Arabidopsis thaliana: one gene and its partners. The protein of the gene in region 1 interacts with the protein of each later gene in a pairwise test. Each region holds a gene or a part of one and is shown in the gene's direction. Other genes may lie near its edges.

Region 1 (9,763 bases):
CTCCAAATTTTATTTATTAATTAGAAAAATTCAGCTCTTCTCCTCCATTGCAAATTGTGTTGCATGTGATTAACTTCATGGTTATGGTCAAAGCCAGAAGCCCAGAAGCATTATACTTCTCTGCCAAAGACAAAGAAGACAACAGTACTACATGATGCTCGTTTAAGGATATAACAACTGTTATAAGCTTAATCCTTGCGGACAATCCAATCCAATCCTTTCGTTGTTCATCCTGGACAAGTGTGCTCGTTGTATTCTGTTTATGTGCAAAATGATGTGGTTCGTGGTGTGTTAGACCAAGTCCAGCAATGGTTTTTAGTGGGTTTTTATGTTAGATTTCTAAGTAAAATGGGCCCAACAGAAAGAAAAACAGAACAATCCATTTAGGAGCGTTCCTAAAATTGGGTTTTTCGCGACCCAATAGAAACCCATACGTGGCTTCACTTTATTGGGTAAAAGTTTTGACTCAAAAAAAACAAAAAAAACACATTCTTCTTCCTTCTCATTTCTTCGTGTTCCGACAGAGACTCCAATTGGAATCGAAAAACAAACTCGGTTCTTTTGATTTGGAGAAGTTTCTGTTCCCGATTCCTCCGCCGATCACAATCACGGCGAGTCCTCATCCTTCTGATTCCGGTGGTGATGGTTCGAACTCGAAGTCTTCTTCCGACGACGAGTTTGTTAGCTTGGACTCTTCCACTTCTGGCTTCTGTTCTTCTTCCGGTAAGTTTTTTGATCTTATGCAATTTTTGGTACTTAATCTTATTTCAAGAAATTGAAGCTCAAGATTGTTTGATTGATTGGGAAAATTTGCATAAATGTAGGATTGGATAAATTTGTAAGTGTTGTTAGGTTCTGCATTTTGCAATAGATCGTTGATTGAGAAGCTGTTAAAAATCATTAGATGATGTGGTCTTCAAGTTTTTTTTGAAAAAGATCAGATCCGTTTCGTTGAAAAAGATGCAAAATTCTGTTCAGTTGTATGTGCGAGTGAGCTTCATTTTTAAAAAGTTTTTGATTCTCTCTAGTTAACTTAAAAGTATCGACATGGGTTATTGATTCAATCACGTAATGATTCTCATACAATACATTCTGTATTTTATCATGTAATGATTCAATCACGTAATGATTCTGTAGTTAACATAATGCAAGGTACAAAGGTGGTTGTTGTCAGTTTCAGTTTCAGTTTCAGGAAATGGATTCTCTTGTGTTGCCGTTGTTTTTACGCAGGAGTGACAAACACTTGGTCAGATTGAGATTTATGGCATTGGTTCTGATGTTGAGATGCTTAGAGAAGCTGTTTTGAAGAATGGAGGTGGGTGGCACGGGCATGGGTGGGTTGGTGATGGAAAATGGATTGTAAAGAAAGGTAATGTTAGCTCAACAGGAAGATGTTTGAGCTGCAGTGAGCAGTTAGCTTGTGTAGATACCAATGAGGTAGAAACACAGAAGTTTGTGGATTCTTTGGTGGCTTTGGCTATGGAAAGGAAGGCAAAAATGAATTCATGTGAGTCAGATGTGGTCTTCAGCGAGTTTCAGGTTAGAGAAAGAATTGATGATTCCTTGATTCTCTTAGCTTGCTTATAATAAGTCTTGGACATTAAATATTAATGAAAGTTTACTTTTTGTTTAGTTAACTTTGATAAGCATTTAGAGATAGGTATAGTGCTTGGAGTTTCTACTGCGAATTGTCATCAATCTTGAGTATTCAAATGTCGATATTTATTGAATGTTGCTATCTTATTTGGCAGGACTGGCTTGAGAAACATGGAGATTACGAAGCTATAGTAGATGGAGCAAATATTGGGCTCTACCAACAAAATTTTGTAGATGGCAGTTTCAGTCTTTCACAGGTTCTCCCATCTATTTTATGTATAAAAATATCAACAAATTTTCTTTTTTTTCATTTTTTTTTTTGTTTTAGAAACCCACTTAAGTATTCCACCAATGGACCACCAAATCTTTAAAAACTCTAAAAAAATCTCTAAACTACAAAACTATCCAAATTTATTAATAAAAAATACATAGAAACTTTATTTAGAAACTAATCACTGGACTTGCTCTTAGTCCCATGATTTTAGAGAGACTAGCCTTTGAGGTTAATGTGGGAAACTTTTGTTCCTATAGCAGTTCCTTATGTTCGAATGTCATGTATCATATCATATGATTGGTTTATTCATTCCAAAGAATGATTTCGTGAGGTTTTGTTTTTGTATCAAAATATTGATTTTCCGTGGTATATTTAACGCATTTTTATTTTCAAGATCAATCAATTAATTTATGCTTTTAAATTTACAATAAATCAAAGTACATCATTTATTATTTTCAAGATAAGTGGAGCAAAAAGCAACTTGAGATTAACTTTTTAAAAGATATAGCACAAAAATAATTAATCAAAATATATAATTTATAATTTTCTAAATCTTGGTGAAAAACTCAGGAATTCATTATTTTAGGGAGTAATAATATAAAATATTGTATGATTTTCTTCTATATGATTTATTAATTATTTTAATTGGAATTGCATCTCGGCAATGACACAACGATGATTCTAGCAAATACCGCTAGGTTATTAGTCATGGTCTAAAGACTTCAATATTTTATATTATTTTTTTACATTTTATTTGATTAAACTAAAACCATTTGTATTTTTATTTTACATACTAATAAATATGTTACCAAAGAGTATAAAAGGTCTTTCAATTATGTGTATATATTAGTGAATTTTTCTAATCCTTTGGCAGTTTTCTATAAATAATATTTCTTAAAGTACGCAAATATGTTTATATAGCAAACAGTTCTCAAAAATATCACACTTAAGTTTGATCTTTCAAAAATACTACTTAAGTTTTTGGTTTTCCAAAAATATCACAAAACTAAATTAAATTTTCAACTTTCAAATCCTAACCTTAAACACTAAAATCCTACCCTTAAAAACTACACCCTAAATCTAAAATAGGTAACCCAAACCTAAAATTTTAAATTTTGAACTCTTGGACATCAATTTGTTGTTTTGTGGTATTTTTGAAAAACAAATTTTTTTTGGTAGTATCTTTGAAATATTAAACTAATAGTGACATTTTTGGCAACAAAACTTAAAAAATGTGGTATTTTGAAGAATTTATCTTATATAACAAATATACAAATTAATAATTACTGCAAAAGTAGTTTGTCTCGTCTAAATTTTATGGATTATATTTGTAGAAAATTATTGTTTCCTTTTTTAAATTATTTGGTATATTAACTATTTAAAAGTTTCATAAATAAGAATTTTAAGATATTTAGTTCAATCACATATTTCTAAAGATCTCATATATATTTATTATTTTATGATATCAGTATAACTATATTTACCATAATATTTATAACTCTAAAATCAATTTCAGAAAATATACCAATTAACTATCAAAAATAATAAGTTAACAAAAATCATTGTACCTCAGATAAAACTTTAATACTGTAATCAATACTGAAAGTTTTTAAGATTAATCAATTCTATCTAGTTCAGTATTATGATAAGATTCTTTTAAAGATCACTATTTTATGCATACTTTAATAAACATGCCCGTATTATATTATCATCGGTAAAATAATTTTAATTGGAGATATTATCTGAAACAACTACCATTTCACTATTTTTGGATGACATTTACATTCTACATAGATAAGTTGAATATTTCATATTAATTACTATATAATTGATATTTTGTGTAATTTAAGAGAATCTGGCTTCAAATTATCAAAAAATAATAAAGTCATTCAAATAATTTTTATCAATCCATCAAATGAGATAGGGGAGCTATAAATATTATTGGAAATAAGATATCACCATTTTATCATAAATATATGTTATTATCAGTAACAAATTTATCGCCAATAACAATAGAGGAATGTATTCCATTATTATTTTAAAAACAGAGTTAGTAAGTAATGTAACGGCATATATCTATTGTCAATTTATCAGAAATAATAATGAATTTGGAATGGTCTTCATATTCTATATAACGGTCCAAACAAAATAATTCTATCTTAAAGCTCTCAAAATTATAGTGTTATCTCATGGTATCCGTTTTTGACGATTTTCATTTTTTCTGTATTTATCACATAAATAACTAAGTTTTCTATATTCATAAAGGAACATTATTTAGTGCAAAATTCATAAACTCATTTCATCCGATAAACAATATATCGAATGTTTTTCCTTGAATCTAATCTTTTATAATATACTCTCTTAAAATAAATATATAAATAAACTATTTTTAGATGATAATTACATCATATAAAGGTTAGTGTGTATATATATATAAAGAGAGAAGGATATATGTGTATGGAACACAAAGAAATAGTTCATAGTCATGCCGGGCTTAATCATATATATATCTCAAACCTATCACAATTGTGGCCGAGTTGCTAGAATCACATAACAATTTTATCATAAATATTTTTCATTAGTGATAACAAATCAATCGCTAATAACGTAAGAAAAATATGTTCTATCTAAAAAGTAGCAAAGAATATGATTGCATAAATAATGTAACGGAGTATATTTGTTACAACAATTGCTAAAAAAATCATACAATCATTTTATCATAAATAGTTTTCATTATCGATAATAGATCAATCACCAATAACGAGAGAATACATAAGAAGACCCTTTAACAAAAAAAAACGAGAGAATACATGTTTTACTTTAGAAAATAGCGACAAATAATTTCAGATAACAATATAACGATTTTTTAATATATTAAAATATGAGATTAAGTTTAGAATATTAAACAATTAACGAAAATGATGTATCAGTAAATCAAAAACATATTGACCATATTACGCTTGTTACTTGTTAGTAATTTTTTTTACGCCGCCATTTTTGTTGCTATATTTAAAAAAAATATTCCAATAATATTACTATTAGATATGAAAAGATCACTACTAATTAAAGGTGGATCTTTCTGGCAGATTTGGATACATTGTACAAATGAAATGAGAAGATAATAGTCAAATAAATTTGTATTGCATACCATATATTGATTGAATATTAAGATTATGAAATGTTACAAAAATAGTAAAATTCAAATTCAAATAAAAATATAATAAATCAAAGTTGAAATTTACTCATAGACAACTCAAATATTAATTATTTGGTTTGTAATATTCTGCTATAAATACATGAGCATTTTCATTCTACAAACACCAATCCTATATTTTAGCTTCTCAAATATCACTAAAAATGGTGAAAAAAAGCAAAGGTCGTCAAAAAATAGAGATGGTCAAAATGAAAAATGAAAGTAACCTTCAAGTTACTTTTTCAAAAAGAAGATCTGGACTTTTCAAAAAGGCTAGTGAGCTTTGCACACTTTGTGGTGCAGAAGTGGCCATAGTTGTGTTCTCACCTGGTCGAAAAGTCTTTTCTTTTGGTCATCCAAATGTTGATTCTGTAATTGATCGATTCATAAACAATAACCCTCTACCTCCTCACCAACACAACAACATGCAACTTAGAGAAACTCGTCGAAATTCGATTGTTCAGGATCTGAATAATCATCTTACTCAGGTAATCTTACTCTTATTTTTAAGTATGATTAAAACAAAATAGTGTTTTCTATGAATCATAAAACCCAAATTTCTATGGTTAAATTCTTTTTTTATTTAATATATATAAGTAAAAGTTTTCGCAGGTGAATAAATAATATATAAAAAACATTAGACAGTCTTTTTCTCCATAACTAGAATAGATTTATATCCTAATAGTATGTTAGATAAAAATGCCGATGAAATGTTATAGAATCATATGGTATGAAAATTAATAATATTATTGGTGTTTTTATTTGTATATATATTTGCAGGTGTTGAGTCAATTAGAAACAGAGAAAAAGAAGTACGACGAGTTAAAGAAAATAAGAGAAAAGACAAAAGCCCTTGGGAATTGGTGGGAAGATCCCGTTGAGGAACTTGCGTTATCTCAACTCGAGGGGTTCAAAGGTAATCTTGAAAATTTGAAGAAAGTAGTTACAGTCGAAGCTTCCAGATTTTTTCAGGCAAATGTTCCAAACTTCTATGTGGGAAGTTCTAGTAATAATGCTGCTTTTGGGATTGATGATGGTAGTCATATCAACCCTGATATGGATCTCTTTAGCCAAAGAAGAATGATGGACATAAATGCCTTCAACTACAACCAGAACCAAATTCACCCTAATCATGCATTACCACCCTTTGGAAACAATGCTTATGGTATTAATGAAGGGTTTGTTCCAGAATACAATGTGAACTTCAGACCAGAGTATAACCCAAACCAAAACCAAATCCAAAACCAAAATCAAGTTCAAATCCAAATCCAAAACCAGAGTTTTAAGAGAGAAAACATCTCTGAATATGAACATCATCATGGTTATCCTCCCCAGTCTAGATCTGATTACTATTAACCCTTTGTTGTGTGATCCAACTTAAGTCTCTAGACAAAAAGTTGTGTGTTTAGGTTATCTTTATTTCTTCTTATTTATGTTTCTACATGTGTTGTTGTTGTTTTTCTTGTTCTTGTTTAAGTATTATGTTGTATTGTGTTGTTTCATTTCAAAATTATGTTATTGCTATATATAAATTATATGTGTCGGAAACAAATGCATTACGCCTCTGAAAATACTAGTCTGCCATGGTTACGTTTACGCATTTTGGGCAATTGCAGAATTTTAAACACAGAAAGGTAATAATCATAATCAATCATGTACTATTTTAAAATAAATTTGCAAAAAAGCATAATGAAAATTTCTGTGTGCACCATTTTTCAACTAAAATAGTACATACATTATCCCACATATTTTGGTACATTGTAAAAAATGAAATGACAGCATTACAATGGCTTTCCCTCTAATTTCATTCCTTATAATGATGAAATACAGATATTGTGAAATATTCCTAAAATGATAAAAATCTAATTCTAATATAGAAAATATAATAAAATTAATGTTAAATTTAAGGAAAATATAATAAAATTAAGGTTAACTTTTAGTTGAAAAAAAGGCTAAATCTATGTCACATCATTCTATTTAATTAATCCGTGCAGTATACTCTAATATTTATTTTCCTTAAAAAAGATTAAATCATCATCAAATATCTAGTATGTATTAGATATCAATCTAAAAATAAATAAAAAAATTGTAAGAACAATACAAGAGTATCCACATATGTAAGAACTTAAGAAATGAAATTTTCAAAATCAAGCAAAATACTTCAAAACTAATATATATATTGTAATTTTGAAAACCTTAAAATCCAATGGCATGCTTTACACATCCCATAAACTCACATATCTCTCGAGTAAAACGGTACACATGAGACATCCATGGAGACCAGAAGAAACACAAACAAACACATAAATGGATTCAAAGACAAAGATAAAGTTGAAGTTCTTTTGTGAGCAAAACACACTTTAAAACATAGGAAATAAGCTTCTTTATGGGTATCAAACCCTAGTGATTGTAGGAGAAGAATCAGGCTGGCTCACAGAAGATGACTTTGATGCTTCCATCATGAGAGCAGCTTGCTCTAAACAACTCTTGTTATCGTCATTCGCATTCTCCACTTCCTCTTTCGTGTATAAGTGTATCTTCCACACCACATTGCAGAAATCACTATCCATAGCAGAAAGCCAATTTCAAGTTAGGAGAAAAGAAGTTGTGATTGACCTTTAGAAGGTATGTATAAAGAACTTACTGCCATGGATCATCGCCAACGACCATCATATCGTTCTCACTATCAGTATATAAGATCCTCCATCCTTTTTCAGGATCCCTGAGAAGCCCTTCCATGTTGAACAGCCGTTCAAGCTCCATAAGGAGATCATCATACCCGTTAAGTCGCGACAAATCAATAGCTCTCCCCACTTGGCTTCCTTGCTTGTGAACCTTTTGATAACAATTCAACACAAGAACTGATTAGAAGAGACATCTAAAACTGCAACTCAAAGTAGCCAAAGAGATGATAAAGAAAACGTTTTACCTTTGTACAGATTCTTTTGCTCGAGCTTTGCGGCTTAGATGCAGGTGTCTCCACTGGTAAGGAGAATCCGAAAAGTTTACATCCTGATGAAGCATTCATATTCAACTCACTGCCTTTCTGTTTTCCCATCATATCAATCTTGAATGGCAAATCAGCTGTAACATTATTTGGTAGGCCACCTTCATTTTGTGCATCAAACTTTCTAGTCTCTTCACCAAAGTTTATTGCACGTGAAGGGGGACCCGAGGATTGGTTTCCCGCATTGTATGGATTCTGATACGGAACATGAGTGCTCCTAATCCCATGCAAAGCTAGCGGATAGTAACTTGACTTGTTGGCTTGGTAAGCAAAGGGATTAGGAGCAGCAGCTGGACTGAAACCAGCAAATTGCGGGAATGATTTAAGCGAGCAAATTTCTTGACCTTGCAAGACCCTTGGAAACCTATCCAGGTCCATAACACCTGAACAAGCTGGGTTCACGCCAGTAGCATCTACAAACTCACCAAATCGATCCTTGACTCTACTCGACACAAGAACTGGATTTGCATGAGACTGCATCGCAAAATCCAGTATCCGGCGGTTCATAACATCAAACCCCTGTGAGGGTGATGCAGAACCTATATTTTCTTGACCTTGCAAGACCTTAGAGGGTCTAACCGACTCCTCAAAGTCCAAAAAACCACCCCTTTCTGCTGCAACCAAGAACAGTTATCAATAATATACTGATGAAAATTGAGAACTGTTTGCAAAAGCATATACTCCAAAGAGAAGAGAGGTCTATATAATTTACTTGTTATGGGGTTTCCGGGTGGGGTAGTATCCAGTAAACCTGCCCATGGCCTTTTAGGCCTTGGAGATGACTGAATGCTCAAGTGTGGGAGAGAAACCGAGGGATCAATCTCCCAAGGTGAAACTCTTTCTTGATGATCACTCACAAAAGACTCATCCCATCGCACCTGCCAAACAAATGTGAAAGATTTAGATATCAATCTTCGAAAATGAAAAGTCTTCTACACGTTAATAGACAGATACTCCAAAAAGATGAGAGGACGCACCAACAAGCACCTCCATTTAGAGTTTGGCCACCTATACGGGTCCAAGTCACAGACTCCAGTCACTACACCAGCGCATCTGCAAGAAAGATCGAATATAAATTCTCGTCCAACAATATTAGCTACACAACACAGAGAAAGAAGCAAGAAAGAAACAATACCTTCTCTCAGGAGAATCGTCCATTTCAAATCGCATTCTAAATCTTGTGCCTATGCAAACAGGACTCCTGATGCTTGTGATATACTTCTCATAAGGAATCACAAACTCTGCATGCGTCGCTCTGTATATAAATCCACAAATCAACATTATAGTTCTTTATTTCTTACTGAACCTAGTTAAGAATCATTACGAATGGCAGCTTTTCATTTTTATCTCACCGTGGACTGTAGAACACATGAAACATGCTTTTTGTAGATACAGCATTAGCCACAAGAGACAGAATGTTTGAACATGAATTCTTCTCAATGATTGAGTCAGGAAGTCCATTTCTTGGCCGTGCTGCTCTTCTGATTCCTAATCTCAGCTCTCCTCCTTCGTCTCTATAAACGCCGATATTAGTAATGAATGTAAACATTATTGGATCAAGGGCTTCAAACCACCAAAGCAGAGGGAAACACCATGAATCTACATCACCATTTGATAAACTGAAATCTTACGATTACCTCAGAAAGAGAACCGCATCACCAGAGACGAGATTCTTTTGACTGACAAAGATACT
Region 2 (8,496 bases), about 15 Mb from region 1:
ATATATGTGTGTATAGTTTGGATCTCTTTGACTCTTTGTGACATAAAAATTTTAACACGTCATATATGTTTTAAAATCAATATTTACATAATGCATTTTAAATAGGTTGAACGGCCCTCTCAAAAAATTTCTTCATACAAATTTTTGATCTTATAACAAATTTTTAGGTGCAAAATAACATAAGTTGGTCCCTTTATTACTCTATTGATTTATTTTTGACTAAACATTAGATCCATTTTCATATTTAAATTCCAATAGATGCTCTAAAAGGCTAGATATTTTGTATATCTAAAACCTAGCCTATGCTAATCACAACAAGCTTTAACAGGTAAATAGAGCCCAACAATTAGCTTTACATAGGCCCAATTGGCTTTTCAAATGATCCGATTAGTTTGCTATGTTACATAAAATTACTTTATCATGTGACAAAAAGCTTACATTAATCTTGTAATAAAACAATAGTAATTTAACACAAAAGAAAGAAATCTAACGAGCACGTCAAGATAAAAAAAATGACTTAAAACTAGGTTGCATGGAATTAGAAATTAATGAGTTTGCCGAGGCGATTTTTCTGATTTTTCTAGAAAGTGTATATTTGTTGGAAAGATCAAAAAAAAAAAAAAGATCAAAATATAAAACACCATACTTTAAACCATATATTAAAAATATTGTTTTAACAAAAAAATCAAACACATAATAGTACATTGTATAATATATCTATAATAACTCAATTAATACAAACATCATAACTAGGGGTGTCAAAATGGGTAATCAAACTCAACCCAACTCATAATCAAATGAGTTTAGGGTTAAATGAGTTATGGGTTGACTCAACCCATTTAACAAAATGGGTTAATCCATTTAAGTAATAATTTAATTAATTATTATTATAAAACACTATTAAATAATTATCATTTTTAATAATTATTAATTCATTATCATCAAACTTAGGATATTTACGGATTCTATTTTTTAAAGGTTTACATTTTTGACGGGAAAATTACAGGTTAACGTTTTTGGCGGGAAAATCACGGGTTTACGTTTTTTTGGCGAGAAAATTATGGGATTACGTTTCTGCGGGAAAATCACGGGTTTACGTTTTTGGCGGGAAAATCACGGGTTTACGTTTTTTGGCAGAAAATTACAGGTTTACGTTTTTGGCGGGAAAATTACGAGTTTACGTTTTTGGCGGGAAAATTACGGGTTTACGTTTTTGGCGAGAAAATTACGGGTTTTACGTTTTTGACGGGAAAATCACGGGTTTTCATTTTTGGCGGGAAAATCACAGGTTTACGTTTTTGGTGGGAAAATCACGGGTTTATGTTTTTGGTGGGAAAATCACGGGTTTACGTTTTTGGCGGGAAAATCACGGATTTACGTTTTTGTCGGGAAAATTACGGATTTCTGTTTTTTGGTGGATAAATTACGAGTTTACGTCTTCTCAATTTCATCTCTTGTATATTTAAGAAATTTGGAAAAATATTGATTTTCTTAAATTGGTTTAGATGTGTTGGTTAAACTTAAATTGATATTGGTTTAGAGATTTTATTTGGTTTAATTCAATTTTACAAAATTTGATGGGTTAATTGGGTAAACCATTGAAACCATTAACCATTACAACCCAACTCATTTTACTCATCAAACCAATTGACCCAATAACTCATTTGACCCATCAACTCATTTGAGTCAAAAATTTCAACTAATTAGGAATCATGGGTTGAGTTGAGTTGAGTTGACCCATGAATTCTGACCCATTTTGACACCCCTAATCATAACGCTCGAAGTTAAAAACATAGACCATGTCTTCATTCTCATTTTATCAACTCTATAACGTTGCTTATAAAGTCATAATAGCCTAATAATCATCATATTAAAGTAAAGAATTTTAATTATATTTCTTATAATATAATAGTCTTCTAGGTCACTATTCACAATCTTAATTATTTTAGAACAAATAATTGTTTGTTAATAAGTTAAGAAAACACCAAAAATTCATATATGTACTTCTAAATTATTTATTTAATACATCTAAACTTGGGTTCGCAAAAATCGCAACTCTTAAAAAACAGAATTCGTTCTTTCAAATAGTTTTCAATTTGACATTTACACAAATCTCTTTTCAAGCGGATAACAAACCTCTACCAAAACTTTTCTACAATCTAAGATATTATATTATTGAAATTGTATGCTTTTATCTTGATAATTAATAAAAGCATTCCAAAATTCTGAAATGTGGGTTCCAAAGCTATGATTGGATCATATTTTCTTACCAATTCTCTCATGTCTACATAAAGCTATTTATTTTAGGGATATTAATAAGATCAAAAATAGGGTAATGCCAGCTAAATTACTCTTCATTATTAGCTGGTAAAATTTATTTCTAAAAGTGCAATGAAAAATATATAATATCGGGTCAATGCCCCAAAAGATATAATATCCACATGATTTTATAAATTATAATTTTACAAATAAAAAAAAAGACAAAAATCATATTTATGTATTAAACTCTTGATTTTACCCAAATTATGCATATATTTTCTAAATAAAAATAATTTTCATAAATAATTTTTTATATGTCATTATTAATAAATAAATACATGTAGTCATATTAATGTATTAAACTCTTGATTTTACCCTTATATGTAGTCCATTTTTAAAAATACTCTTTCTCTTGAGCAAAACAAACAAATTACCCACATCTAATGAGAAACATGTAATTTATGAACTGAAATTTTCCCGCCGAATTTATTTTTTCCCTGACAAAAAAAAATTCTACCAAAATATTTTTTTTTCCGCCAAATTTTTTTCCCGCCATTTTTTTTTCTCTGTAACAAATGTTTTTCCAGCTAAAAACATGCATTTAAAAATCTTTGTAAAGGTTTTTAAAAGCTTTGTAAATTTGTTAAAAACCCTTGTAAATCATTTTAAAACCTATTAAAATCTTTATAAAAATTTTAAATATATATGTAAATACTTTAAAAACCCGTTTTAAAACCTTTTGTTTTACATTTTAAAACCTTTTACAATAATTTTAAAAGATTTACAAGAGTGTTTAAAAGATTTACAAGGATTTTAAAAACATTTGTAAATGTTGTAAAAATCCTTGTTAAATCCTTTAAAACCCTTGAAAACTATTTAAAAACCATATAAAAATCTTTTAAAAACCCTTAATAATTTTTGAACCATTTTAAACTCTTATGAACCCCTTACAAAATGTTTTAAAAACCCTTGTAAACCATTAAAAATCTTTTAAAATCTCATGTAAACCCTTTAATAATTTTTGAACCATTTTAAAGTTCTAGAAAATTATTTTAAAAATCTTTGTTAATCTTTAAAAACACATGTAAATCTTTTAAAACCCTTTTCAAATCTTTTAAAATCACTTGTAAATCTTTTAAAACCCTATAAAAATCTTTTAAAATCCTTTGTAAATCTTTTTAAAACCTTTTACACTTTATAAAAATCTCTTAAAATCCCTTATAAATATTTTAAAACCCTTTTACACATTTTAAAAATCTATTAAAATCCATTGTAAATCTATTTCCTGCGAAATTTGTTTTTTGCGGGAAAAATCTTTTTTAAAACAAATATTATGGCAGAAAATGTTTTTTTGAAATTTTTTGGCGGAAAATTTTTTTCAGAATATTATAGGCGGGAAAAATCAATATTTCATTTTTTTACCTAAAACATATTTTAAATAGGGGTAAATAGTCATTAAAAATTAAAAAAGGGTATAAATGAAAATAACAAATAAGAAAGGGCAATACTGAAAAGGGATTGTGTTGAAAGGGCATTCATACCAATTATTCAAAGTTTTTGGCGTTTCTGTGAGATGTACTTTGCATATTTTCCAAGTTGTTTGCCCATTCTAAAAATTTATTTGTATGATTCAGAGTACATCTTTAAATTACTGTAGATAACAAACTTTCTGAAATTTACTTTAGATAACAAACTTTAGAGTAATTTCTAGCTTACCACAATTCTATATACATTGACAATATATTACTGTATTTTAAAAGTACAATCACTTAAAACTATTGCAAAACTTCATATTTTAAGAACAAAGTAAGCTAGAAATTATTCTTAGTAAAAAGAAACAATGAGAGTAAGAGAAATTAATTCGCCAAAATAAAAACAAAACTTAGAAATACAAAATATTATATTACATGCCCCCTCGTATTACATGGATAGATTTTTTTCTTTTTTTTGTCATCAGATATTATTTAGGATCAGACGTACCAAACTTTGGATAAGAAAAAATATTTTTATATAGATAATAATGAATTACCTGGTCAATTAATTGATAAGAGATTTCCTGGATGTTATTTAGAATTAATTAGTCCACCAAAGTGATAAGAATCCTAGTGTCTATAGAATCACCTTTCTTTGCTATATAAACATCCTTTGAGCAAACAAATTAAACAAACCACACAAAACAAAAAAAAAAAACAAATTGATGGGGATGAAGAAGGTGAAGCTATCTTTGATAGCTAATGAAAGATCAAGGAAAACATCCTTCATAAAGAGGAAAGACGGGATTTTTAAGAAACTCCACGAGTTGTCAACTCTGTGTGGTGTCCAAGCTTGTGCTCTCATCTACAGTCCATTCATACCGGTTCCAGAGTCATGGCCGTCAAGGGAAGGTGCTAAAAAGGTGGCTTCAAGGTTTCTGGAGATGCCGCCGACAGCCCGAACCAAGAAGATGATGGATCAAGAGACTTACCTTATGGAGAGGATTACCAAAGCAAAAGAGCAACTAAAGAACCTGGCTGCTGAGAACCGAGAGTTACAGGTTAGACGATTTATGTTTGATTGTGTTGAAGGCAAAATGTCCCAGTATCATTATGATGCAAAAGACCTTCAAGATTTGCAATCTTGTATAAATCTATATCTCGATCAGCTTAACGGAAGGATCGAGTCCATTAAAGAAAATGGTGAGTCGTTGTTGTCTTCCGTCTCTCCTTTTCCTACTAGAATTGGTGTTGACGAAATTGGTGATGAGTCATTTTCCGACTCTCCTATTCATGCTACAACTGGGGTTGTAGATACTCTTAATGCTACCAATCCTCATGTTCTTACGGGCGATATGACTCCTTTTCTTGATGCGGACGCAACTGCGGTAACTGCTTCCAGTAGATTTTTTGATCATATTCCATATGAAAATATGAATATGAGTCAAAATCTGCATGAACCGTTTCAACACCTTGTTCCTACTAACGTTTGTGATTTTTTTCAAAATCAGAATATGAATCAGGTTCAATACCAGGCTCCTAATAATCTGTTTAATCAGATTCAACGAGAATTCTACAACATAAATTTGAATCTGAATTTGAATCTGAATTCGAATCAGTATCTGAATCAACAACAATCATTCATGAATCCGATGGTGGAACAACATATGAATCATGTTGGAGGGCGTGAAAGCATTCCTTTCGTGGACGGAAACTGCTACAACTACCATCAACTACCATCCAATCAACTACCAGCCGTTGATCATGCTTCCACCAGTTACATGCCTTCCACCACCGGTGTCTATGATCCTTACATCAACAATAATCTCTAATCACAAAAGAGGGAGAAGAACTAGTCTAAGTGTTCAATTGTTTGTATTTGTGTTTTCTTCATTTCGAAAGACAAAAACTAATGTTGTTTATTAATAATGGTTAAAGGATCTCTTTTTAACTTAATTATGTATTTTGATTATTAAGTAATGTTTTGCCCCCAAAAAAAGATTATTAAGTAATGTATTTGCTCACCGTAGTGTGGGAAACTTTAATTGTAGAATTTTATTTCGAAAATTTAAGATGTGACTGGTACAATATTTAGACGGAAATTTTCAATTGAATTCTTTTAGGACCCATACATAGAGAATAATTGTTTTCCCCAGCAATTTAAAGTAAGAACTATTATTCTTTGAATCAATTATCGATTTGCCATTTTTTGGGATGGTATCTGTGGATTTTGTCCTTTTCTGAATAGTTTGTAGATTTTGCCTTTTTCACACTACGAAAATATGATTTAACATGTGTTTTATTCGTTATGTTTTGGTTTAGTCGGTTGTGCTTGTTCTTAGGATTTAATATTTTGTATAAACTACGTATTTTTACCAAAAAAATCGGAAATACATACTTTTTTTAGTGTTAGAAAATGGCATATCCATAAGATTTTAGTAAAAATTACAATTTCAAAAAAATTCTATGAAAAATGGCAAAAGCAACAATAATCTCTTATTCTTTTCGAAAAAAATTATTTGATAACAAAAAAAAAAGAACTACTCTTATTCAATGTTAAAAAAATCGTTAGGCGCTAGTTAGGCTTTCGATAGAAGCCTTGAGCCTATATCGATCAGTGCCTAGGTCAATTTTTTAAACATTGTTCCCATTCTTTTGGGCTCAAAAAAATTAGGTAGAAAATTTGTTCTTCCAAATTTTGCACCAGTTAGACTCTAAGGGGGTGTTATTGGTTCCTAATTTTCATGACTTTCCATGACTTTATTTTGTGAAGAAAAATGTAGAAAGAAAAAAAGTGTGGGTAGTTTTTAGTCTTTCCATTATAACAAAAATGTATAACTATATAAGATAATACTAGAGAGCTGTGTAAATCACCTAAATACTGTTTTAGGAAAAAAATATCTTTTGATAAGAAAAAACTTGCAAAAAATACATCTACACACCATCACAGCATTGATTACAGTATATATGTGTATGTGATAATATTCAGCATAAAATCTAACTGTTTTCTTAATGTCAAAACAAATATATCATTAGTCTTTTATATAGCCTGCTCCTGCATATTGTGAAGATTTAGTTTTTCTGGGTTTTCATTACATGTTTGTTTGCTTGTGCAAATATTAATCATCTCGTGTTATTTTAAATTATGTTAAAAAATCGAGGGTAATAATTTGATAAATTTTTGTTTGTATTTTGTTATAAAATTATTAGTAAATTTAATTAGGTTTAGTTGCAAATAGTGCTATGATTTATGGTCTCATTATTTTTATTTTTTCATTTTTTTTGTCCACAAGATCATTTTCATAAAAATGAAAAGCCCATTGAGTTATATAGATGATGAAAAAAGCCCAAACCACCAGCGTTTACAACTTCAATTTAAATTGAAGTCTATTTATCCTACTAAAATTTAAAGATAAGGACGAGATTAAAAAAGTGTTACGTGCGGTATACGTGTCCACACGCGAGAAGGAGATGAGATGACACAAACGTAGCTAGCCAAATCCACGATCAGCGCAGCTCCGCCGCCAGACTTCAGATCCACCACCGCTCCTCTTCTACAGCGCTGCCCGTTGCTAAAGTCGAGAGAACCCCATCGAATCCATCTTGAAGTAGATCGAGAAAAAACAAATCTTCATAATCTCAATCTGCTCCTATAGTAGGAAGCTTCGCCTTTGGCCGTAATAGGCCTATATCCATGGATAAACATGTGGAGATATTACTCTCGTATATATATAAGAAGAGTTGAGCTGACGGTGAACAAAGAGGATCTAACCAATAGCTGCGGCGATTTGAGTTTATGTATGTAGAAAGAAGAGAACAAAACAGATCCGATCTTAGTTGGAATTTTATTGTCCGAAACAAATACAGAGATGAACAACAACAAGTCACTAAACCTAAGCTATAGATCTAAGATATGATTTGGAAGAGACAAAACAAAGAAATCTATTTTACAATCTGATCAATGTCATAAAAAGAAGCTTTCCCTCTCTAAAAGATATGGCAGAGGTAAGGGAGAGGAGCGTGATTTAAGTACTCATTAAAAAACTCGGTGAGTGGGCTAATCGATCCTACACTCACCCTAAAGAGATTAGCCAAGTGATTAAGGCCCAAAACACCTCATAATATCCAAAAATAATAATTTGGTAAAGTTAACTATCACACCTTTCCTCTGACCACTTGGGCCGAAACTCAAATGGCTACGTTAAATTAAGAACTAATTATATAAATTTGGTACAACTCAAGATTTTATTTTTACAGTATGTAAACTCTAAGCATGCGGCACTTGGTTATTTGGGTGTAGTAATAATTATATAAATTAATACTCGATAGATTAAAATCTTTGATCCCTAATAAGTGTTTAAGATCATTTAATTAATAAATTAATAACTGTATAAATATTGAAATATCATAATTTCGATATTATTAATTTATAGAGGTTAAGCTTTATTAATTTCTAATTTTTTACTGTTATAGATTCACTAATTTTTCTTAAAAGGAGCATGTATATTCTCAAAATTAGTCGGATGTTAAAACGAAAAAAATTGAAATTGGGTGCTAAATATTAAAAAGAACAATATATCCATGAAACAAATTATCTTTCTTTTCTTTAGCCACATGTCATGAACCAAAATCTCTATTACATTTTTGTTGCTATTTGTAGTTGCTTCCATTAATATTCATACAAAGGTCGAACTTAACTCTGATTAATGATTTATTACATCTCTATAAAGTGGATACAAAGCTAGATGTCTAATCAAGGCGCAAT
Region 3 (8,272 bases), about 14 Mb from region 1:
CGTGGGAAGGTTATTGCCTATGCATCGCGGCAGTTGAGGAAACATGAGGGTAATTATCCTACTCATGATTTGGAGATGGATGCGGTGATCTTTGCCTTGAAGATTTGGAGGTCTTATCTTTATGGCGGGAAAGTGCAGGTGTTCACGGATCATTAGAGTCTGAAGTATATCTTCACTCAGCCAGAGCTGAACCTGAGGCGGAGGCGGTGGATGAAGCTGGTGGCTGATTATGATCTGGAGATACCCCACCAACTTGGTAAAGCTAATGTGGTTGTAGACGCGTTGAGCCGTAAGCGCGTGGGTGTGGCTCCAGGGTAGAGTGTTGAAGCCATGGTGAGTGAGATTGGTGTTTTGCGGTTGTGTGCTGCTGCAAGGGAGCCATTGGGATTGAAGGCTGTGGATCGAGCAGATCTTCTTAGTAGAGTTCGATTGGCTCAGGAAAAGGATGAGGGGTTGATTGCGGCTTCTAAGGTAGAGGGTTCTTAGTATCAGTTCGCAGCTAATGGGACTATCCTTGTGCATTGGCGAGTTTGTGTGCCTAATGATGAGGAGTTGCGGTAGGAGATCTTGAGTGAGGCTCATGCGAGCATGTTTTCCATTCATCTAGGAGCGACTAAGATGTACCGAGACCTCAAGCGGTACTATCAGTAGGTTAGGATGAAGAGGGATGTAGCTAACTAGGTCGCAGAGTGTGATGTTTGCCAGGTGTCGGGTGGCATGTTGCAGAGTTTACCCATTCCTGAGTGGAAGTAGGATTTTATCACGATGGATTTCGTGGTTGGGTTACCTGTATCGCGGACCAAAGATACTATTTGGGTGATCGTGGACCGTCTGACTAAATCAACACATTTTCTGGCCATCAGAAAAATCGATGGAGCGGCGGTGTTGGCTAAGAAATATGAAAACGAGATCGTGAAGTTGTTGGAAAGTGTATATTTGTTGGAAAGATCAAAATATAAAACACCATACTTTAAACCATATATTAAAAATATTGTTTTAACAACAAAATCAAACACATAATAGTACATTGTATAGTATATCTATAATAACTCAAAATACAAACATCATAACGCTCAAAGTCAAAAATATTGTCTTCATTATCATTTTATCAACTCTATAACGTTACTTATAAAGTCATAATAGCCTAATAATCATCATATTAAAGTAAAGAATTTAATTATATTTCTTATAATAGTTTTCTGGGTCACTATTCACAATCTTAATTATTTTAGAACAAATAATTGTTTGTTAATAAGTTAAGAAAACACCAAAAATTCATATATGTACTTCTAAATTATTTATTTAATACATCTAAAATTGGTTTCGCAAAAATCGCAACGCTTAAAAAACAAAATTCGTTCTTTCAAATAGTTTTCAATTTGACATTTACATAAATCTCTTTTGAAGCAGATAACAAACCTCTACCAAAACTTTTCTACAAGCTAAGATATTATATTATTGAAATTGTATGTTTTTATCTTGATAACTAATAAAAGCAGTCTAAAATTCTTAAATGTGGGTTCCAAAGCTATAATTGGATCATATTTTCTTACCAATTCTCTCATGTCTACATAAAGCTATTTATTTTAGGGATATAAATAAGATAAAAAAATATGGTAATGCCAGCTAAATTACTCTTCATTATTAGCTGGTAAAATTTATTTCTAAAAGTGCAATAAAAAATATATAATATCTGGTCAATGCCCCAAAAGGTATAATATCCACATGATTTTATAAATTATAATTTTATATCCAATCATGTTTATACATGTGTACCTGCATTAATATCCATTTGAATGTAAAAAATAATAAAAAAAGCAAAAATCATATTACTGTATTAAACTCTTGATTTTACCCAAATTATGCATATATTTTCTAAATGTAAATAATTTTCATAAATAATTTTTTTATATGTCATTATTAATAAATAAATAAATAAATACATGTAGTCATATTAATGTATTAAACTCTTGATTTTATCCTTATATGTAGTCCATTTTTAAAAATACTCATTCTCTTGAGCAAAAATACCAAATTACTCTCATCTAATGAGAACAAGTAATTTATAAACTGAAATTTTCCCGCTAAAAGTTTTTTTTCCCGCCAAAGTTTTTTCTCTGTAACAAATTTTTTTCCAGCTAAAAACATGCATTTAAAAATCCTTATAAAGTGTTTTAAAAGCTTTGTAAATTTGTTAAAAACCCTTGTGAATCATTTTAAAACCTATTAAAATCTTTATAAAGTTTTTAAATATATATGTAAATACTTAAAAACCCATTTTAAAACCTTTGTTTTACATTTTAAAACCTTTTACAATGATTTTAAAAGATTTACAAGAATTTTTAAAGGATTTAAAAGGATTTTAAAAACATTTGTAAATCTTTTAAAAACCCTTGTAAATCCTTTAAAACCCTTGTAAACAATTTAAAAATCTTTTAAAACCCCTTAATAAATTTTGAACCATTTTAAAACTCTTATGAACCTCTTACAAAATATTTTAAAAACCCTTGTAAGTCCTTTAAAACCCTTGTAAACCATTAAAAATCTTTTCAATTTCTTGTAAACCCTTTAATAATTTTTAAACCATTTTAAAATTCTTTAAAAATATTTTAAAATTCTTTTAAAAATCTTTTTTAATCTTTTAAAAACCCTTGTAAATCTTTTAAAACCTTTTTAAAATGTTTTAAAATCACTTGTAAATCTTTTAAAACCCTTTAAAAATATTTTAAAATCTTTTGTAAATCTTTTAAAAACCTTTTACACTTTATAAAAATCTCTTAAAATCCCTAATCTTTTAAAACTCTTTTACACCTTTTTTAAAAATCTTTTAAAATCCCTTGTAAATCTTTTAAAACCCTTTAAAATCTCATTTCAAAAATCTCTTAAAATCCTTTATAATTTTTTTTTGCGGAAAAAATGTTTTTAAGAAACCTTTTTGGCAGAAAAGTTTTTTTTAAAATTTTTTGGCCGGAAACTTTTGGCGGAAAATTTATTTTCAGAATATTTTTGGCGGGAAAAAATTAATATTTCATTTTTTACTTAAAACATTTTCTAAATAGGGGTAAAATGGTCATTAAAAATTAAGAGAAAGTATAAATGAAAATAACAAATAAGAAAATGCATTATTGAAAAGGATAGTGTTGAAAGGGCATTCATAACAATTATTCAAAGTTTTTGGCGTTTATGTGAGATGTTCTTTGCATATTTTCAAATTGTTTGCCCATTCTAAAAATTTATTTGTATGATTCAAAGTACATCTTTAAATTACTGTAGATAACAAACTTTCTGAAATTTACTTTAGATAACAAACTTTAGAGTAATTTCTAGCTTACCACAATTCTATATACATTGACAATATATTACTGTATTTTAAAAGTACAATCACTTAAAACTATTACAAAACTTCACATTCTAAGAACAAAGTAAGCTAGAAATTATTCTTAGTAAAAAAAAACAATGAGAGTAAGAGAAATTAATTCTTAGTATAAACAAAACTTAGAAATAAAAATATTATATTACATGCCCCCTCATATTACATGGATAGATTTTTTTCTTTTTTTTGTCATCAGATATTATTTAGGATCAGACGAGCCAAACTTTAGATAAGAAAAAATATTTTTATATAGATAATAATGAATTACCTGGTCAATTAATTGATAAGAGATTTCCTGGATGTTATTTAGAATTAATGAGTCCACCAAAGTGATAAGAATCCTAGTGACTATAAAATCATCTTTCTTTGCTATATAAACATTCTTTGAGTAAACAAATTAAACAAACCACACAAAACAAAACAAAAAAACATATTGATGGGGATGAAGAAGGTAAAGCTATCTTTGATAGCTAATGAAAGATCAAGGAAAACATCCTTCATGAAGAGGAAAAACGGGATATTCAAGAAACTCCACGAGTTGTCAACTCTATGTGGTGTCCAAGCTTGTGCTCTCATCTATAGTCCATTCATACCGGTTCCAGAGTCATGGCCGTCAAGGGAAGGTGCTAAAAAGGTAGCTTCAAAGTTTCTGGAGATGCCGCGGACAGCCCGAACCAGGAAGATGATGGATCAAGAAACCCATCTTATGGAGAGGATTACCAAAGCAAAAGAGCAACTAAAGAATTTGGCTGCTGAGAACCGAGAATTACAGGTTAGACGATTTATGTTTGATTGTGTTGAAGGCAAAATGTCCCAGTATCGTTATGATGCAAAAGACCTTCAAGATTTGCTATCTTGTATGAATCTATATCTCGATCAGCTTAACGGAAGGATCGAGTCCATTAAAGAAAACGGTGAGTCGTTGTTGTCTTCCGTCTCTCCTTTTCCTACTAGAATTGGTGTTGACGAAATTGGTGATGAGTCGTTTTCCGACTCTCCTATTCATTCTACAACTAGGGTTGTAGATACTCCTAATGCTACCAATCCTCATGTTCTTGCGGGCGATATGACTCCTTTTCTTGATGCGGACGCAAATGCGGTAACTGCTCCCAGTCGATTTTCTGATCATATTCAATATGAAAATATGAATATGAGTCAAAATCTGCATGAACCGTTTCAACACCTTGTTCCTACTAACGTTTGTGATTTTTATCAAAATCAGAATATGAATCAGGTTCAATACCAGGCTCCTAATAATCTGTTTAATCAGATTCAACGAGAATTCTACAACATAAATTTGAATCTGAATTTGAATCTGAATTCAAATCAGTATCTGAATCAACAACAATCATTCATGAATCCGATGGTGGAACAACATATGAATCATGTTGGAGGGCGTGAAAGCATTCCTTTCGTGGACAGAAACTACTACAACTACAATCAACTACCAGCCGTTGATCTTGCTTCCACCAGTTACATGCCTTCAACCACCGATGTTTATGATCCTTACATCAACAACAATCTCTAATCACAAAAGACGGAGATTTTCTAGTCTAAGTGTTCAGTTGTTTGAATTTGTGTTTTCTTCATTTCGAAAGACAAAAACTAATGTTGTTTATTAATAATGGTTGTAATGGTTAAAGGGTCTCTTTTTAACTTAATTATGTATTTTGATTATTAAGTAATGTTTTGCCCAAAAAAAAAAGATTATTGTGGGAAACTTTAACTGTGGAATTTATTTCGAAAATTTAATGTGTGATTGGTACAATATTTAGACGAAAGTTTTCATTTGAATTCTTTTAGGACCCATACGTAGAGAATAATTGTTTTCCCCAGCAATTTGAAGTAAGAAATATTATTCTTTGAATCAATTATGGATTTACCATTTTTTGGGATGGTATCTGTGGATTTTGCCCTTTTCTGAATAGTTTGTAGATTTTGCCTTTTTCACACTACGAAAATATGATTTAACATGTGTTTTATTCGTTATGTTTGGGTTTAGTCGGTTGTGCTTGTTCTTAGGATTTAATATTTTATATAAACTACGTATTTTTACCAAAAAAATCGGAAATACATACTTTTTTTAATGTTAGAAAATGGCATATCCATAAGATTTTAGTAAAAATGACAATTTCAAAAGATTTCTATGAAAAAATGGCAAAATCAACAATAATCTTTTTTTCTTTTGGAAAAAAATAATTTGATAACAAAATAAAATAAAAAAGAACTACTCTTATTCAATGTTAAAAAAATTGTTAGGCGCTAGTTAGGATTTTGATAGAAGCCTTGAGCCTATAACGATCAGTGCCTAGGTCGATTTTTTTTTAACATTGTTCCCATTCTTTTGGGCTCAAAAAAATGAGGTAGAAAATTTTTTCTTCCAAATTTTGCACCAGTTAGACCCTAAGTCATTTTTAAAAGAAAAAAAGTGTGGGTAGTTTTTAGTCTTTCAATTATAATAAAAATGTATAACTATATAGATAATATTAGAGATCTGTGTAAATCACCTAAATACTGTTTTAGGAAAAATAAAACTTTTGATAAGAAAAAAACTTGCAAAAAATACATCTACACACCATCACAACATTGATTACAGTATATATGTGTATGTGATAATATTCAGCATAAAATCTAACTGTTTTTTTAATGTCAAAACAAAATTATCATTAGTCTTTTATATAGTCTGCTCCTGCATATTGTGAAGATTTAGTTTTAAGGGTTTTCATTACATATTTGTTGGCTTGTGCAAATATTAATCATCTGGTGTTATTTTAAATTATGTTGAAAAATCGAGGGTGATAATTTGATAAAATTTTGTTTGTATTTTGTAATAAAACTGTATATATAAAGCAATCGCTTCTTCATCAAATCTACCATGAATGATTCTTTTTTTTTTCCTCCTCTTTGTTGATTGATTCTTTCATATTTGTTTTTAGGTTTACTTTGTTTCTATCTCAGCAAAAAAGCATTACCTTAAGTTTAGACTGTAATCTGTTGATTTATTAATCAAAGCGACTTTTTTTTTTTTGCTTTCTGGGTTTAACTTAAAGAACAAAAAATATATCAAGTGAGCACAATTGTAAATTGAAGTTTAACTTTGAATAGTTTATACAAAAAATTCTCTATAAATTAATACTTGATAAATTAATAATCATTATAAATTAATATTTTTTTCAATCTCGAGTCAGACTAATATAATGTTTAACATAATTCGATAAAATAATATTTTGTTTAAAAACTTCTATGTAATTATATGATCTCATTAGTATCATACATTAATAATTGTATAATATGATTTTAGTATTGCTTGTTTTTTCTTAAATATGCATTAATCTTGTGTAGAGTTCACTTATTATATTTTACAACATCTTAATCTTTTTTTTAATTATTTTTTACGGATAAAAATTATTAGTTTACTTGTATTTGGTTTTGAAAAGATATTCCATTTTAAGTGTCAATTACAAAATGTTTAATTAAGGTATGACCCTGACCTTAACCAAATGAGCAAAGAGAATCTTTTCTACTTTCTTGCATCGATCCAAAAGGAAATTTTTTTTTCTGGATTTCGAAAGGGAATCTAATTGAGCAAAAGAAGTAAAAAAAGATAACAAATTATACATGGTAAAACCGTTATAGCAACAAAAACCTTAAATAACATAACATGTGGTAAAAAAGTTATTTCACCTTTCAAATATTAATTCATGAAAACCATTAAAGTAATTAACTACTCGTGGTCAAATATTTACAACGAGTTTTGTAACAATTCTATGGGCTAAACTTATGTAAGTCTTCCTCCAAAAGTATTATTCTTTGTCTCCATTAATTGTATGAATTATAAGCACCGACTTTTCGATTGGTCTTATTATTTGCGGGATTTGGGTTTATGGTTTGAAACTTATGGCTAATTTCCCATGACAGATCCGAAATGATATAATCTGCGAGCAGCCAACTTTGAGGACAAATTCCTATCACACCACAAGGAACCAGAAAATGATCTTTATTTCGTTAGAGAAATCTCGCTTTCGAGTTTCCAGAACATCTTTTAGAAGCAAAATCCGAGGTCAGTAGCCAAACAAACAGGAGAAGGAAGGATCAACCATGACTCATAAAACTGATTTGAAACCTGAAACTTTCTCCCCCTGAGCTACTTCATCCCTAACACTTTTAATATTGACAGTCTTTTCAGCAATCATTCAAGAAACCAATAGAAAATAAATATTGACAGAAGATCCCAAAAAAACGCAATGTAGGATAAAACATTAGTTTGCTAAAAACTCCAAAGTACACTACAATTAGGATATGATAACAAGAAAGAACAAAATGCTAGGCCAACATAGCGATAAAACTCACACAAAGCCTGTAAAATGAGAGAAGTTACACACTTATCCAAAATAGTTATAGATTCATCAGAACCAATCCTCACTCCAGATTAACTAACTAATAAATCGTACTCGTTTCGCAGGAACGACTCGGATCTTTGTCGGATGGTTGTTCATCTCAGGGGGAGAAGAGTTACAGAGGTCCTGAGATGTTTGACGTAGTTGTTATGGGTTTGGCCTTTGCGTAATGATATGTTGGCCTTGGGTTGCATGGCTTGAGATGAGTTGCATCACATCATTAACATAAAGATCCTCTACAAGGTCCACCAAGGCGTAAACTCTAAGATGATTCTCCAAACCTTGGATTTCAACGCTTTGGAGAGTGTTTCTTTTGGGATTGAAGTATAAAACATAAAAAGGTTTGGATGTATATCTCATTGAGAAAACAATTTCACCGGTAGCAATCACTCCAAGGATTAAATGATTCTTGGGATTAAACACAGCCAAATCCCCTAAAGTGTAGACATGTTTCGACCATTCATGTTTCTCGGCATCTTCTAGAATCCATATACACAACTTA
Region 4 (8,135 bases), on another chromosome or scaffold:
AGCAATTTTGAGATTTCCTTGTTATCTTCTTCAAAGCAAACGTTTTTTTTATCTCTTACACCATCAACTTTACATAGTATTATTAATGAGAGTTGCAAGTAGATTTACTTTTGCTTGTCTTGCACCTAAAGATATATACCTTGATCTTCTTTGTATTAAGTTTATTAATAGAATATATGAAAATCTTTTTGATTTACTAATTACGGTAATAGTATTCTCGTAATTTTTCTTCCGGTATATATTGGATATTGAAGATTACTACTTTACAAAGATTTCAGATTTGTGGACAATTTCAAAACCACGTTTTGGCAACGCATTTTCTAGATTATTCCTTTAGATATTGTGAGATGACTCATTTATTTTATTTGTTATCAGATTTCAGTACCAGAGATATGAACTCAAAGAAATTTACTGAAACTATGAACTCAAAGACTATATACTACATGTACGACACACTTTTAAATTCTTGTCATTGACCAAATAAGCTCTTATGTATGGGTTATAAATTTTGCTGCCTGGTATCTTCTCCACTTCACTATTCTAAATGCTAATTGAAAAAAACACTCAACGTTATTGAAATTATATTTGTCACCAAAAGAATCAGATCCTTCGAAAAGAAGAAGAAGAATCTGTTTTATTACAATTGGTATGGTTTTCTCTATCAGTTGATTCGATATTGGTGTGGTAATGAAGTGGAGAAATTAAAGAATAGTAAAATTAAAGACCCCACTTATTATTTCTTCCCTCAATAAAAAAAACAAAAACATTTCTCTACAAAAATCATAAATGTTATAACCAAAATAATTGAAAAAAGTAGCTCGAGAGAGAAGTAGCATTTGCTACTTTACCCAAAATCCCTAACCACATAATAAACCAAACCCAACAAAGAAAATAAAATTTCAAACCAAAAAAAAAAAAAATGAGAACTTTAGAAGAATCGAAGATCTCTATTGTCTTCTTGTTGCTTCTTCTCTTCTCAATCTTCATCAGTTCCAGTCACCAGGTTAGTTTCTTTACTTAGATCCCTCTAAAGTTCTCTTCTTTCACATCTGGGTATTTCTAATTTTGTTAAAAATCAAACCTTTAACATAACCTGAATTCAAAGTTTTGAGCTTTATGGGTTTTGATTGGAATTTTGTTTAGGCAAATGAGGTATTACCAGCTGAAGGAGATAATGAGATGATGATGGTGCCATTGGGGGAGGAGAAGTTTATGGTAATGAATGAAACAAGAAGGAAACTTGGAAGTTTTCAGATATGTTCAGTTTGTACTTGTTGTGGTGGTGCTAAAGGTCTTTGCTTGCCTTCTCCTTGTTGCTATGCTATTAACTGCAATATCCCTAATAGACCCTTTGGTTACTGTTCTTTCACTCCCAAAACTTGCAATTGCTTTGGTTGCCATATCTGAGATCTTCTACTTCATTGTAATTTGTAAGTTTCTTATTCTTCTCTGTTCTTAGTTTCTGCTCAGTTCATGTTTTGATGTTTGGTTATGAATGTTTTGATTCCAGGGGAGAGAAACAAGTGAATCTAAATCTTGATTCATCTTCAAGTGTGAAAGGGAGGAAAAAAAGAAGAATATCTGTTCTTGGTTTGAGTCTTCTACTTATTTTTTGTCTATAATTTATTTTTCAGTCTTCATTAAATTTCATTACCTACTATCTCAGCAACATCATCATCCTCATTAATTAATTGTCTTTTTGCATTTGCCATTTTTTCATAATTTTCTAGGGTTTTTTTTGTTTTGAGAATCTTGTTCACACTTCAAGCAAGATTTGTTTCTTCTTCTCTGTTCAATCAATTCTCTCTATCTGTCTTTCTCTCTCTCTTTTTTTTTTTTTTTCATTCTCTTGTTTACTTCATCATTTTGTTTCTTATGTGTTTTAAGAAAGTTAAAAGTTAGAATTTAGCATATTTTGGAAAAGAGTCATTGTTTGGTTAAGCTGGCAATTGGAAGAGTATTTAATATGATGATGATGATGGTATTGATGGTGATGGTGGTGATAGTGAAGCTGTTAAAGTTAAGTCTTTGTAATGAGTGACATGTTAAGAAAATGGATCAAGTTTAGTGCCTTATTCTGATCTGATAAGATCTTTAAGTGTTTTAGTTTAAAATAGAGGAAAAAGAGTAAAAAAGCAATTATTCATCTTCAAGTGCAGAGACTAGACAATATCTTTGAATATGTTTATTTATCTGACACTGTTATTATTGTAAGAGATGTTTTATGTCAAATGTTTGTTCCAACTCTCTCTATTGCGTTAGCGTAAGTAACCTGCAAGATCTGTAAATTAATTACTAATTGTTATTTATTATTCACACATGGGACATCATAAAGTTGTCTTGGTGATAAATTTAGTCAATATGTGTGTGTGGGTTAAGAGTGTTGACTATACCAGTTTCCCCGTGATTGATTGGCTTTTATTAAATCGGACAATTTGCATTTATATTCACAGGTCATGTTTATTAAACTCTACATTGCTGTCTAATGTCTATAGTACACCAAGTCTATTGGTGATTGAAATGTCGGAGAACGGTATAGTTTTTCTGTTCTTACAATAAAAAGGTAGATTAAGAACACTGATTAACTCAATGTAACCCATACACTTACACGTCGGGTCAATCTTGAGCGGTGATCTTTTGGGTTTACCTCTAACCCCGGACTGGTTAAACACTTTTCTCACCTCACCACATCAAAGCCATAATCAGGGCCCAAATTTGAGTGCCTACAGCAAAAAGATTTTGGCCCAATAACAAAAAACTGTTTTTTAAAACAATTACAAAATTTTCGTCTAAATTAGATTCAAAACTGTATAGTAAAATGTTTGGGACTAACCACTAAACTACAGTCACATTTTTGAAAATGATGACTCTAAAACAAGTTATAATTATTTGCTGCGTAATACCCTTGCTTCATGGGATTACGTGGAGAAGAAGAGTAAGTATCAATCAATTTATTGCTAGAGATTTGCAAAAGGGGGAATCCGTGTGCAGAGGTGTCTAGATGAAGCCATGAGTCTACAGCGGAGTTTGAATTTGCGGTGGATGAGTTACGGTGGAGATGACATTTTCCAAACATTACAAGCCTTAACACGTGTACCTACTGAGATTTTGATAGAACTTGAAATTGTTTCCCAAATAAACCTCTTATTCGGAAGTTAGGTTTTGGACTCAAAATGGATGGGATGCATCATGAGGTATGAGATATGTTTCCCAATGTAGTCTCCGGCGATGAGATTCTTTATCACCATTTTTATTTAACGTTAATACTTAAATCTTTGTAAGACAGAAAAAGAATAAGATGTTAGTCAAGATTAGAATAACGAGACCTAATTTGTGAAATTTTCCGTAGCTTTTTGTGGATAATAGTTTGTTTAGTAAAACTGATCCGAATTAATGTGAACTCGTAAGACTCCTCCATCTCAATGGAGCGGCTAATTAGAACAACTACTAAATTGTGACAAATCTAAGGTTGTCTCACATAATTCAAGAGTTTAAAATATGGTATAGTCTTAGATATAGATATCTTATACCAATATTCATAATTTGCTAAAGCTAACTAGACATTCCTAGATAATTTACCGCCAAGAAAACTAATTAATTGGATATGTTTTTCTTTTCTCTATAATTTTTGTATATTTAATTAATGTAAATATACAAAATTATATCAAATATATTATTTCCTTATATGTTTCATTTTAATCATTTTTTATTAAAATGAATAATTGGACACCTAGATAGCTAGGCCAAAACAATTTTTGACATTCCATTGACTTATTTACCCAAAATGGAAAGTGTGGGTGATTCTGGCTGTTTAGATGCTTAGACATAATCTTACTTTCTATCCAACTAATTATTACCTGTAACTGTAAGTTTCAATTTTAGGCATTTTATATTAATTATATTAAAATAAAAATAATAACAAATAGAAAAATGTATAGAGAAGAAAATATCTTAAATTACCTTTGAAATATATATTTTCCTTTAAATGGACTTTCTATATAAAAAATAAATCACATTACATATATGATACAATTTTCCCCCTAAATGTCTGGTTTTATGCCCCCCAAAAGGTAAAATATCTATATGGGCTGTCTATAAAGATAAATGATTATCACTTTACCATCAATCACATGCCAACACGTAAGGGTGAAAGTAATACCATATCCTGAAAATAAAAATTGAAAATAGTCCAGCAAAGCAATAAGAAACACATTTTATCTAGTATATAAACAATCGTCCTCATGCTAACAAAGCAAAACACATATAACAAAAACAATAGATATGAAGAGAAAGATGAAGTTATCGTTAATAGAAAACAGTGTATCGAGGAAAACAACATTCACCAAAAGGAAGAAAGGGATGACGAAGAAACTAACCGAGCTAGTCACTCTATGTGGTGTTGAAGCATGTGCGGTCGTCTATAGTCCGTTCAACTCGATCCCGGAGGCTTGGCCGTCAAGGGAAGGCGTTGAAGACGTGGTGTCGAAATTTATGGAGTTGTCGGTGTTGGACCGGACCAAGAAGATGGTGGATCAAGAGACTTTTATAAGTCAAAGGATCGCCAAAGAAAAAGAGCAGCTGCAGAAGCTACGTGATGAGAACCATAATTCTCAGATTCGGGAGTTAATGTTTGGTTGTCTCAAAGGGGAGACGAATGTGTATAATCTTGATGGAAGGGATCTTCAAGATTTGAGTTTATATATTGATAAGTATCTTAATGGTCTTACTCGCAGGATTGAGATCCTTATTGAGAACGGTGAGTCTTCTTCATCTTTACCTCTTCCTATTGTTGCGAATGCAGCTGCACCAGTCGGATTTGATGGTCCTATGTTTCAATATCATAATCAAAATCAGCAAAAGCCGGTTCAATTCCAATATCAGGCTCTTTATGATTTTTATGATCAGATTCCAAAGAAAATTCATGGTTTTAATATGAATATGAATAAGGATTCGAATCAAAGTATGGTTTTGGATTTGAATCAAAATCTTAATGATGGAGAGGACGAGGGCATTCCTTGCATGGACAACAACAACTACCACCCCGAAATCGATTGTCTCGCTACCGTCACCACTGCCCCCACTGATGTTTGTGCTCCTAACATCACCAATGATCTCTAGTCTAAGGGATGTATTTCGAGTGAAGTGTTTGATCGTTTGCATTTGTGTTTTCTCCATTTTATAAGACAAAACTTATATGTGATGTCTTTTTTATTATTATTAATTGTTGGACAATTCTTGCGTCCACACTTATCTTATTTACCCTTTCTTAAGTTCCTTATTAAACTTTACATTTTTTTTAACACCATCAAAAACTTTCTCTTTAAGTTGTTTATTACACTTTACATTTATTTTACACCATCAAAAACTAAGGTCACTAAATAAAAAAAACTATGAAGCCTCATTTTCCCATAGGAGCAATGTGAGACATAGACAAATTGAGTAAACAATTACATCACTTGGTAAACAATTTTTTTAATATTTAATTAGTATTGGTTGTTATTGATTTAAATTTTATATCACTTTCTAAATAATTTAAAATCGTATATTTGTATCAAGTGATGCAAATGGATTTAGATTTGTATCAATTTTAGTGAACTGATGCCACATAAACTAATACGACATCGATTATTGCAATTGATGTTAAACTATAATTCTTGTATCGATTGTAAACAAGTGATTCAAATTAATAGCATTCAATTTTTTTCATGCAACTACTTTTTTGTTTGTAGTATTTGTTGGATAGAACGTAATGTTATGGCTTAACATTTAAACGGCCAGAACTATCCACACTCTCCATTTTGGACAGATCAAGCAATGGAAGGTCAACATTGTTTTGGCTTAACCATCTAGGAGCCCTATTTATTTGTTTTTAATTACATTTTAAGAAAAATGACTAAAAGAAAAAATACAATGAATTAATATATTTAGGATAATACAGTATTCAAATATTTACATTAATTTAATATTTAAAACAGTATAAAGAAAAAGAAACATATCTAATTAGTTTTATAGGTGCTTAAACATATACGAATTCAGTAGTTCTTAGCAAATTTTAACTATTGAACTTTGTGTTCAAAATAACCTTCCTATGATGTCAAATACTGAAACTATTTTAGAACTCTTGTGAGTTATCTTAGCACCACATTTTATCACTTATAACTCTTTTTTTATTATTTTTACCAATAGAAAGTTTATAACCATGTTTTTATACCAATTGAATTTCTTATATTTTTCAAATAATTGTAATACCAAAAGATATTCTTAGAGTAATGTACTTTACAAATTATAAAAGTTGAAAATAGCGATATATGGGCTCCATCTAATGATCTCAATGCGGGACCAGCATGTGATATACGAATGTCTATATACATTATTTTCTCTGTTTTGTAACAATAAACGAGTAATGAAATTATATTTTATTGGCTTCAATTTGTAACAACCAACAAGAGGTCGAATGAGCCAACTAGAATACAGCCCACGATCAATAATCAAACCTATGAAACTTCCTTCTCTCTTTCTTTTAACATTTCCAAACACTATATATACTAATGTCACTTACCTCGATTGTCCATCAAACAATACATTTGAGATATCAATACTCCTGTGAGAACAAAATGAAGCTTTCTTGTGGTACAAGCTTTGCGTTCTTACTTCTGTTTCTTCTTGCGGCACAATCTGTGCATGTCTATGCGGGTAGCTTCCACAAAGACGTTCAGATACATTGGGGTGATGGCCGCGGAAAGATTCACGACAGAGATGGAAAACTTCTTTCTCTCTCGCTCGACAAATCCTCTGGATCCGGTTTTCAGTCTAACCAGGAGTTTCTCTATGGCAAAGCCGAGGTTCAAATGAAACTTGTTCCTGGTAATTCAGCTGGAACAGTGACAACATTCTATGTAAGTTACATACAATTTTCAAACCGTTTTTTGTCATCTTTTGCTATTCCTATAGTACATATATTTAGGCCTACATTAATTGAGTATGTTTGTGTTTATGATGACTTTGTGTAGCTAAAATCTCCGGGAACTACGTGGGATGAGATCGATTTCGAGTTCTTGGGAAACATAAGTGGTCATCCATATACTCTCCATACTAATGTTTACACAAAAGGCACAGGAGACAAAGAACAACAATTTCATCTATGGTTCGACCCAACCGTTAACTTTCACACTTATTGCATCACATGGAATCCTCAAAGGATTATGTAAGCGTAACCTTTGATACTTTGTATAATCTTATATGTTTTGAGGCTATGCGCTCATGAACTTACGTTCTCTTCTGTTTTTGCCCCTCTTACAGTTTTACGGTTGATGGAATTCCTATTAGAGAGTTCAAGAACCCCGAGGCGATTGGAGTCCCGTTCCCAACTAGACAACCAATGAGACTCTACGCGAGTCTTTGGGAAGCCGAGCATTGGGCAACAAGAGGAGGATTAGAGAAAACAGATTGGTCAAAAGCTCCTTTTACTGCTTTTTATAGAAACTACAATGTCGATGGATGTGTATGGGCTAATGGAAAATCATCTTGTTCCGCGAATTCCCCATGGTTCACTCAAAAACTCGATTCGAACGGCCAGACAAGAATGAAAGGTGTGCAAAGTAAATACATGATCTACAACTATTGCACCGATAAAAGAAGGTTTCCTCGAGGAGTTCCTGCCGAGTGCACTTAAATTCTTGATTCTTTGATACATGAATATGTTACTTGGCATTGCCTTTGTAACTCAATCAAGTTTTTATTTATTTTTATCATTTATTTGTTGCTCATATATACAGTATGTGGTGTTTGTGTAAGATGTTTTAAGATTGAAGTAATAAAAATAAATTATGGAAAAAAGCTTTCATTTGTTAACGTAATTAAATTTAACTGGCCGGCTTCACTAGACTTTTTAAAAAGTTAAAAACATAGGTAGAGGAGTTCATTAATTCTACAATAATGCTTTGGAAGAACATAAATCATAGGCTTACTAATATGAAGAACTGATCTATCTGATATGAAGGTACTTTAATACTCTCCCCAGTAAGAACACTAAATTCTTTCATGTACTTGCACTGATTTACTAGTTTTTTGGTAAACAATATATGTTCGATTGTATCTAAAATTGATACATTGTTCTGGTGATCAATATACATTGT

The links.
Region 2: the proteins of AGL62 (region 1) and AGL36 interact in a two-hybrid assay, tested with the Arabidopsis thaliana proteins (one large-scale study listed by BioGRID).
Region 3: the proteins of AGL62 (region 1) and AGL90 interact in a two-hybrid assay, tested with the Arabidopsis thaliana proteins (one large-scale study listed by BioGRID).
Region 4: the proteins of AGL62 (region 1) and AGL38 interact in a two-hybrid assay, tested with the Arabidopsis thaliana proteins (one large-scale study listed by BioGRID).

Annotation. Positions count from the first base shown.
Region 1 is NC_003076.8:24,301,102-24,310,864, forward strand, and holds AGL62 (AGAMOUS-like 62), read left to right. Parts: upstream 1-4,279; 5' UTR 4,280-5,227; coding exon 5,228-5,551; intron 5,552-5,843; coding exon 5,844-6,419; 3' UTR 6,420-6,615; downstream 6,616-9,763. Other genes in the region: AT5G60430 (antiporter/ drug transporter), read left to right, coding at 1,285-1,539, 1,752-1,967; ARF4 (auxin response factor 4), read right to left, coding at 7,457-7,625, 7,708-7,898, 7,993-8,681, 8,783-8,948, 9,048-9,123, 9,206-9,325, 9,423-9,584, 9,708-9,763.
Region 2 is NC_003076.8:9,339,323-9,347,818, forward strand, and holds AGL36 (AGAMOUS-like 36), read left to right. Parts: upstream 1-4,462; coding exon 4,463-5,563; 3' UTR 5,564-5,689; downstream 5,690-8,496. UniProt on the Arabidopsis thaliana protein: Probable transcription factor.
Region 3 is NC_003076.8:9,988,314-9,996,585, reverse strand, and holds AGL90 (AGAMOUS-like 90), read left to right. Parts: upstream 1-3,815; coding exon 3,816-4,472; intron 4,473-4,595; coding exon 4,596-4,901; downstream 4,902-8,272. UniProt on the Arabidopsis thaliana protein: Probable transcription factor.
Region 4 is NC_003070.9:24,250,648-24,258,782, forward strand, and holds AGL38 (AGAMOUS-like 38), read left to right. Parts: upstream 1-4,281; coding exon 4,282-5,118; 3' UTR 5,119-5,210; downstream 5,211-8,135. Other genes in the region: AT1G65295 (ubiquitin carboxyl-terminal hydrolase), read left to right, coding at 920-1,003, 1,144-1,407; XTH17 (xyloglucan endotransglucosylase/hydrolase 17), read left to right, coding at 6,549-6,896, 7,011-7,204, 7,300-7,672. UniProt on the Arabidopsis thaliana protein: Probable transcription factor involved in the development of gametophytes and seeds.